Arabidopsis thaliana: one gene and its partner. The protein of the gene in region 2 interacts with the protein of the main gene of each other region in a pairwise test. Each region holds a gene or a part of one and is shown on either strand. Other genes may lie near its edges.

Evidence for each region.
Region 1: the proteins of AT3G27050 (region 2) and SCRM2 interact in a two-hybrid assay, tested with the Arabidopsis thaliana proteins (one large-scale study listed by BioGRID).

The regions. Positions count from the first base shown.
Region 1 is NC_003070.9:4,382,350-4,387,388, reverse strand, and holds SCRM2 (basic helix-loop-helix (bHLH) DNA-binding superfamily protein), read right to left. Parts: upstream 3,086-5,039; 5' UTR 2,632-3,085; coding exon 1,747-2,631; coding exon of another isoform or gene 1,666-1,746; coding exon 1,453-1,665; intron 1,371-1,452; coding exon 1,200-1,370; coding exon of another isoform or gene 1,191-1,199; exon of another isoform or gene 1,081-1,190; coding exon 997-1,080; 3' UTR 738-996; downstream 1-737. Other genes in the region: AT1G12870 (F-box and associated interaction domains-containing protein), read left to right, coding at 153-260; AT1G12855 (F-box family protein), read right to left, coding at 3,778-5,039. UniProt on the Arabidopsis thaliana protein: Mediates stomatal differentiation in the epidermis probably by controlling successive roles of SPCH, MUTE, and FAMA. Functions as a dimer with SPCH during stomatal initiation.
Region 2 is NC_003074.8:9,977,341-9,981,770, forward strand, and holds AT3G27050 (plant/protein), read right to left. Parts: upstream 2,504-4,430; 5' UTR 2,297-2,503; coding exon 2,206-2,296; intron 2,130-2,205; coding exon 2,089-2,129; intron 1,814-2,088; coding exon 1,756-1,813; intron 1,656-1,755; coding exon 1,562-1,655; intron 1,488-1,561; coding exon 1,403-1,487; intron 1,325-1,402; coding exon 1,259-1,324; intron 1,060-1,258; coding exon 946-1,059; 3' UTR 755-945; downstream 1-754. Other genes in the region: TSO2 (Ferritin/ribonucleotide reductase-like family protein), read right to left, coding at 2,631-3,121, 3,210-3,717.

The DNA of each region.
Region 1 (5,039 bases), on a different chromosome or scaffold from region 2:
TGAAATCACTAATTCGACTAAAGTCTCTCTCAAAACAATAGAGATGGATGCAAATTATACAAATAAGTGTGGTTTTATAATTCTAATGCGTCTCATTCTGATGCCACGAGTCCAAACGAAGGACTTACCAAGTGTGAGGTTTTTGATTTTAGGGTAAACGCTTGGAGGTACTTGAATTGCACGCCAAGTTATCGAATATACCATGCCCAAAAGCCAGCATCTGTAAACGGGACGCTTTATTGGTTCACAGAGCTATATAATGCTGAAATCAAAGTAATAGTTTTCGATATCATTACAGAAAAATTCCGGTTGCTGCCAAAGATAGTTCCCGCTATTGCTAGTTTAGATCCTAGCCATATATACACTCTGGATAATGCTTTGTGCATGTCGAAAAGAGAAGGAGATAAGCTGATCCAAAATATTTGGAGGCTGAAGAAATCATCAGAAGACACATGGGAGAAGATTTATACCATAGATTTTCTTTTAATTCTTACCAATTAGCCAAGTTTATCTGGTTCCATTATGTTTTTGTCTTTAACATCTTCAGTCGCCCACGGCACAAACCAAATCTTACTAAACTGAACCAAGCTCAGACATTTATAAAGAATATGAATTTTACATAGAGATTCATCTCTGTTCTGAAAAATTGATATATCAGAGCGTTTGCCTATGAATTGTGCATTTCTTAATATTTTGTTTAGCCTTTTCTCATGACAGACTCATGTGTGTTTTATCAATGAAAATCAACATTGCTCTCTTCTTGCAAACAACATATAAATGAAAAGCAAAGTAGAATTATTGAGAAACAATGGCATTTTGCTCAAAGGTTGCAACTATTGTTCCCCAAACACATGTTCTCATAGCTAAAATAAAACAGTTATCATCTTCCATACATGATTGAAATTGATGAAACTAAGTAAGAAAATTGCTGACTAAAACAGAACAAGGACTTAGATCTAGCTCTGTTCCACACAGATGCTTCCTTCTGCTTCGCAATCAAACCAAACCAGCGTAACCTGCTGTATCTAAAAGCACTGCTTTGATTTGTTCAGGTAACACGTCATGGTCTTCTTGACATTGCTGATTAGAAACACAAAACATGTTGTTACTTGTATACTAATCATTCTCTCAAATAACTATTCTTTGACTGCTAGTTTTACTAATCAGTGATCAGCATAGCATCTTAACAACTATATTACCTCAGCGCGGAAAACATCCAAAGCAAAACCATTGAAACAGCTAATCACCGCTTGTTGAACATCCAATCCTAAGTTATCCAAAGCTCTCATGGTGGAAAGTAAAAGACCTGGTCTACGTCCACAGAACATGTGTATGTTCACTGCCTTTCCTTCTCTTAATCTAACCTCAACCTATATCAAAACAAAGAAGCGTTACTAAGAAAATTAAAGAATACAGCTTTGTCCACTAGAAAGCAATTGAGCTTATTCTTACTCTTGGTTGTTGGCCTTTAGGACTTGGCAAGGAGGAAGATGGACACAACTCTTCCTTAACACGGTAAGACAGCGTTTGTGGAGTCGGTGTTAACGGATGCAAGCTTGAAGAACTCGGTGGAGTAGATTCAAGTTCGGTGTGAAGATCGTTGATTCTTTGTAAAAGCTCTTTGAGGTAATCAATAGCATCTCCAAGTATTGATGCTCTATCCATCTACATTTGCAACCCAAAATTAGTGACACAAGAAGTTATTAAGGAGAACAAAGAGAAAAAAGGAAGAATCTTTTTGGTTACTTTGCTGATCTTGGGAACAACTGATCTAAGCATGTAAAGCCTATCATTAAGCTTCTTCCTTCTTCTTCTCTCAGCCATAAGATTCTTTGCAGGCATTCCTTTCTTCTTACCTTTGTTGTTATTAGTATTATGGTCATCAGATTCGTAATTCAATCCAGAGATATCGATGATTCCGGTACTAGTATCGTCAATCTCTCTCTCGTAGCTCGATTTCCTCATTTCAGAAGAACTCTCAGAATTGCACATTTTGCTACTCGAGCTCTGACGCATTGCAGCTCGTTTCTGAAACAGAGTTGGCTGCGAGCCAGATGAAGCCATTACCTGTAACGGTTTTAAAACCTTTGCTCTGTTTGAGAACAGAGGACTCAATCCACATGATCCTGAGCTGTTTTCCGGAGCTGGAAGAAAATCCGGTACTGAGTGGTTTAAGCCAGTGAAATTCATCGAGTTCGGAGATTGATGATTTCCATGGAATTGTTGTCCTAAGAAACCAGAGTCAAAGCCGAAGTCATCGAAAGTGTTGTTATTGATGGTTGGGACGTTGAGAAGAGAAACTATACAAGCTTTCGTAGCTAAGAAAGACTGTTCCTGTTGTTGTTGTTGTTGTTGTTGTTGCTGTGAAGCAGCGTCGAGTGTGAAAGGATGTAATAACGGAGAAGAAGAAGAAGAAGAATCAATCGATTGCTGAAGAAGAAGAAGCAGATTCTCTGAGGGGTTTAAAGGAAAGCCACCATTGAATCTGAAGTCGTTTTGATTAGTGTGTTGTGGTGGTGGTGGGTTATTGAACCAGTCTTCATCTGGGTTTCTGACCCAAGACGCAGCTTCACCGTTATTAACTTCCGGAGATTCACCGGAGCCGTCAAGCCAAACACCGTCGCTGTTCATGTCAAACTAGTAGAGAGAGAGAGAGAGTGGGAAAAGTTTCGAATTTTGGAGAGAAGTAGAAATGGAACCTCAAAAGGAGACAAGGCGAGAGAAACGTAGATAATATAGAGAGAGATTTTTCTTGAAAGGAGGCGTACGTTATAAAGTGGAATCACGAGGATCTTATGAAGAAGAAAAAAGTGAGAAATCTGAAGAAGAAAGATAGAGAGATTTCAGAGCTCGAAAACCCTAAAAAGTTGAGATTTTTGGGGATTTCAATGTTGTCAAGGCCACCATTTATTTACTCTGTTTGGTTTCTTGGTCTATCTTGGTTTAAGAGTTGGTGTTGATTCTCGTGACTATTGTTTTTGCTTTCCGTCTCTCACCTCCACTTCATCTTTGCCACCTCTCTCTCATTTTTTTTTGTCTGCAGAATTATTTCAGTGATAGAGCTTAGGAAGATGATTTAGTTAAAGCTAAATCCGACCGTTAATAATCAAAATAAGTATACAGTTCAGTTTGGTTGAAAAACTTAATAATGTGGGATTTGGTTGGCAATCATAAAAATTGTCACCGTAAAATAAACAAATTTTGAAAAGAAAAATTGTAGTTTTTTTCTATATTTGAAGTATTTGGGACTAAAGAATTTTAATCTCTCAAAACTTTGTGATGTGTGTCATAGACTCATATTAATTGTAGCGGCAAACTTGTGTTTAGATTGTTACATAGATTGGCTATTAATCAAATTTTTTTTGACATGAATAACAAAAGTATATTGAATAAAAAAAAATCTTGCAACAAAGTATATTGAATAAACATTTCAAGATTAATACGGATAAAAGATGTCGGATGCAATGGTCCCTTTTTTTTAACAACGAGGCAATGGTCCCTTTAAGATAAAATCTATATTTCATCTTCCTTTTACATCCACACACAGAATGAAACTGATTTTTGTGTGGATTAACGAAAATACTCGTCCTCATTTTTTTGAAAAATCTGTATCATTTCATAAAGTAGTATGATTTTTGGTAAGTATAGTGTCATTTGGCGAAATAAGTATGGTTTATTATGATTTATGAATAACAGCATGCTATCGGATAATATAACAATCCAAACAATTAATGCTTTGTTTCTTACATTACATGCTTCCAAATACATCAAAGCATTTTATATATGAGAGATCAAACTCTGAAAATAAGAAGCATATCTTCTACACAAAGGAGGTTGGTAAATTAAACTGATAGATTTTATTTGGGGATCGTATTTGATCATATTGCGGGCATAGCGATGTGAGAGCAGAATCTTCTTGTCCTTGCATATCGCCACTGGTGTGGATGGCTCAACCAAATCTTTTCGTGTCCAATTAAATCCATCGCGGAACTCAGATAAAGAAGAAGAAGAACAAGAAAGCAAATCTATGGTATAAACCTTCTCCCATGAGTCTTCTGATGATTTTAACCTCCATATCTCTTGGACCAACGTATCCGATTCTCTTTTCGACATGCACAAACCATTATCCAAAGTGCACATGTCGATATGGTCAGGATCTGAACTAGCAATGGCCGGATTAATCTTAGGTAGCACACGAAACGTTTCAGTGTGAATATCGAGAGCTACCACTTTTATTTCGCCATTATATGGTTCCGTGAACCAATAAATAGACCCGTTTGTAGCTGCTGGTACTTGGTCAGGGAATATCCGATAGCTTGGAGTGCAAGTCAAGTACCTCCAAGCGTTTGCCCTAAAATCAAAAACCTCGCACTTTGTAACTCCCAGGTTTGGATTCGAGGCATCAGAATTATACAACCACACTAATTTGTAATCATTGGCCTTCACGAATGCTGTATAACAGACTACTGGTTTTATGTCAATCCAAGTGTCTTGAGTGGGGTATAACTTTTGCATCAAAATCTGAAACCTAGCCGGAGGAAGTTGTCGAAACCACCGAGTGGCCGGGTTAACTACATATATGGCTTGTGTTTTTAGGGAATGGATGCAGAAAAGTCCGTCACAGCTTTCAGAAGCATAGATCCGGTGTTGAAATCCTTGAGGGAAAGTGATAAGAGTGGAGGACAGAATAGAAGCCGATTCCAAACAGATTGTACTAAAACCAATGTCTGTATCTGGACGAGGCTGATTACCTTTACTTCCTTTCAAGGAATATTCTTCAGACATGACCATGACCTGTGGAAAATCCACGCGTGATCGCTCGACGATCTTCAAGTGTCTCTCTTCAAAACTGCGAGACTCGATCGTCGATCTCCATTGTTTTGAGAGAGACTTTAGTTGGATTATTGCTTTCACCGGAAGTCGTAAGAAGATTTCCTCTACAACATCGTTTGGTAGTGATGATGGTGCAAACACTGCCTTCTCGTTTCCTCTTCCTCTAGGTATTCTTCTTCTCTTTCGTTGTGATAATGATGCAATCA
Region 2 (4,430 bases):
CTTAAGCGATGTACTTTTCTTCCTCTCTCTCCTACTTTTTCACTTTTTTGTTTTTATTTTATTATTAAGTTTCTCATTCAGAAACGCTGATGGAGATTGCCTAATGGTAGAGACTCTCAAAGTCTCTCAACTGTATTACTTTAATACATATAATTTAATTATTTTTTTTACTATTCAAAAAAAACCATCCATAACCAATCATATTATGACATATGTTTATAGTCGGTTCTCAAGAGAGCCGATTCTTATCCCACTCTCCTAATTTTTAATACTTTTGTTATAACCAATAAGTTTAGCGCGTCTTCTCCATCCGGAAGGCAAAGATTCCGAATCAGGAACACATAGAAACAGAGAGAAAGAAGTAGTATACCTATCACGTCTCTTGGGATAAGCGACTAGACGCCTGCAAGCAAAAACCATATGTGTCACTTGCAGCGACCAACCATAAAGCACTTGCAAACAAGTTATGTTCTTTACCACTTGCAACGACCGGCCTTGAATGTATCAGAGTAAACTCTAGTGGTATCCAAAGAGTTGAAATTCTTAATCACCCAAGCGAACTTCTTATCAGCTTGATGATTCCCCATTGCTCTTGATGATAATGGATACTAACTAAATACACAAATTTTTAACTCAAACTTCTAAATTCAAGAGATTGCTATGAACTGTGTTATCTAACTCTTCTAAAATCATGTCAAGATTACACTATGGAACAAAATTGTACTAAATTGTTTTTTGTTTTCCTTTTTTTATTAACTATATAGTTTACTACCAATATACATTAAAAAAAAATGGCTTCACATGAAAATGCAGTTGAGAGTCAAATGAGGCAAGGTTTTTTTCTTGTACATTTACGTTTAAAGAGTTAAGTATATGGAGATGACATGAGAATAGAGAGAGCGACTTGAGTATTAGAAATTGAAGTAGCTTGTGAGAACTGAAAAGCTATCTGCTTCCAAAAACAGGTGAAACTCTTCTTCTTCCAGCTTCCTCCATTTCCTCTCCTGACAAAAGAGACGCCTCCGGCTCAAAACCCGCATTTTCTAATTGCTTCTGAAGCTGTTTTGGTACAAGAACAACGAATATTAGACCAATCTAATATGAATCAGTCCTCACTAGACTCAGACAGTTTCTCATTTACCGGTAAGCAAGATGGACCAAAAGCCATAATAAAACACTTTTTCTGTTCATGCTAATGGAAAATATTATCATGGTAGTTAAAAAGTGTAAAAACAGTTTTTTTTTTGTTTTTGTTTACCTTTTGAAGGATAGCAGATTGATCATCCAGAGAGAATTTACGCATATACTTAAGCATCTCTAGTTGCTGCAGTAAGCACATTCGAATAGTTAGACATTGACCTTGGAGAGATAGTTTTCTTATAGTAACCAAAGCTAACATTACCTGTTCTTGTAATTGTTGTAGTGCTTTCATTTTCTGTTCAAATCCATCTTGTCCAAGCTCAGCTTCTTCACATGCCATCTCCTCCCTATTAAACTGTGAAATCAGCCCCTCATATATATGAATCGAATTTCTGATAACACCGTGAAGAGAAGAGCTTACTTTGCGAGAAACTTGTAGAAACCAATCATCAACTCTTTATCGTTTTCGTATGCAGAGTTCAGCTTTCCCAAGCAGCCAATACCAAATCCCGGGTCTGCTTTTATCGAATATACCTCATAGTAAGAAACATGTAATGGTGTGGTGTGGTGTGTATAACTCAAAAGCAACCAATAAAAGGTTAAAGAGAACTTTACCAATCCCCATCTCCAAGAATATCTCCTCTTGAATAGCAGTTGTTACCGCTACAGCTTCCTGCATTCAATCACAATGTAGTACATGTAACTAAACACAATCCCATTTTATCTCCAACTGGAACTAGTCTCTTCAAATTTATCAATCTTTTCTAAAGTGTTGTACTTTTGTGTTCACAAAATTAAGAAACAATAAGTACTCCATTATACAATCTCATCCAACTTGAAAACGACATTACTCTACCAACAACAACACTCTTAATTAACTACAAAGCAAGCATTAATCACTAATAAACGCATAATCGAAACAATTATACAAAATTCTCAGTTTCTAACCTGTTTGTCATCCACAGCGTCGGAGATTCGTTTCTTCACATCTGAGAAACCAAACATTTGCAATGAATCAATCAATAAAAATGAATTCAAAAACCTTAACAAAGAACACACAATTACCAGATTGTGAAGTCAAGTAATCGAATCGATCAAAGAGATAAACCATTTGCTCTTTCGTCAACATCCCCGAGCTTTGCAGCGACGACGCCATTGCCCCAAAAAAAAAACTCTTTGGAGCCACAAAGTGGGAAATTGGGAATGCCACAAATAATATGAAAATGACGGAAGTGCCCTTAACCTTAATTTCTTCTGTCCAATTTTATTCCTTGTCGCTTTTCATATTAATTTTTAATATCCTTTGTCTTGGTCGCTTTTTGAAACTTTATCATTGGATTCATTAATCGAATAAGCCCTAATTCATGGAGATTAAGCTGAAGAAAGAGAGGATAAAAGCAACTAATTATTCATTAATTCAAAAACCAAGGATAATACACGGTAATAATACAAGAGTAGAATCGTAATTATAGCATCAAAACAAACGCTCTTTAAAAATCTTCGTCGAGAGAGAAGACATGGTTATCAAACGCGCCGTTACCATTAACGCTAGACATAACGGAAGCCTTTTGGTAATCACCAACACGTTTCTCGAAGAAATTCGTTTTCCCTTGAAGTGAAATAAGTTCCATCCAATCGAACGGATTAGTAACACCGTACACCTTCCCGTACCCAAGCGCACCCAAAAGCCTATCCGCAACAAACTCAATATACTGACTCATCAAATCACGGTTCATCCCAACCAACGCGCACGGAAGCGCGTCGCACACAAACTCTCTCTCGATTTCGACCGCGTCGCAGACGATTGATTTCACGCGTTCTTCGCTAAGCTTTGTTTTGAGTAGCGTGTAGAGTAGACAAGCGAAATCACAGTGTAAACCTTCGTCACGTGAGATCAATTCGTTTGAGAATGTTAATCCAGGCATGAGTCCTCGTTTCTTCAGCCAGAAGATTGAACAAAAGCTTCCGGAGAAGAAGATACCTTCAACACAAAGGACATAATCGTCAATTCAAGTAACAATAAGGAAGACCCACAAAAAATAAAGGGTAAAATAGTAAATATAAGGTACCTTCGACGCAAGCGAAAGCGATGATTCGTTCGGCGAAAGTCTGAGAACCGTCGATCCATTTCATAGCCCATTGAGCTTTCTTGGCGACGCAAGGGATTGTTTCAATGGCACGAAAGAGATGATCTCTCTCTTTGTTATCTTTGATATAAGTATCGAGAAGGAGACTATACATCTCCGAGTGGATGTTTTCAATCGCGATCTGGAAACCGTAGAAAGCACGCGCCTCAGAGACTTGAACATCGGACATGAAGCGAGAAGCGAGATTCTCTAGTACGATTCCGTCAGATGCAGCGAAGAAAGCGAGGACGTGTTTGATGAAGTGACGTTCACCGTCGTTGAGACTGTTTTCCCAGTCGCGGTTGTCTTGTGATAGATCTACTTCTTCGGCGGTCCAGAATGATGCTTCGGCTTTTTTGTACATTTCCCAGATCTGTGGGTAGTGAATTGGGAACATACAGAATCTGTCTGGGGTTGGTGTTAGGAGCGGCTCTTCTGGCATTGAAGGCATCTTTGAAGGGATTTGAAGATTTGATTGAAGAAGAGATTTGATTGAAGAGATTGTTTGATTGATGAATTATAAGATCTAGGGCTGAATATTTATATAGGAGATTATAGGGTTTTGGGGTTTTTGAATTTTTGACGTGAAGAGGGAAAATAGAGGAGGGAAATATTAAAAATGTTTGAAATTTGTTTGGTTTCGAGAAGCTTGTTCGGGAATTTTTATCCAAAGAAAAAAGCTTGTTGAGGAAGATGAAGGGTATTATCGTCAATACCCACTGAGATTTAGCCTTGGAAGCGAGGGAAGTGATAAAGTTTGGCGGCAACATGCGATAAATTTGCCGGGTAAGTATAAGGGTATAAACGACATTTTGTTAAAACTCGAAACTCTTGGTGGGGACGCGTACGTATGTGGTTCTCGTGTGTTTTCATGTGAGGTACACGCACCTACGTTTGATGTGTTGCGATGTTACACGCGCCAAAATGTGTTTTAGAGAGTTAAAGCCCATTAATAAGCCCAATGGATTTATCGGACCAGAATATAATCATATAAGTATTGTAATTGGACTTGGGGGCACAAGAATCAAGTTTGATGTTTAAATTAAACCGAAACGAACCAAGTTTTATAAGAACCTGACCGATAGAATTCTAATACCGAATTAACCAAATTGTACTCTCAAATTTGATGCGATCGAACCGAATAAACTTGATATACTGAAATTC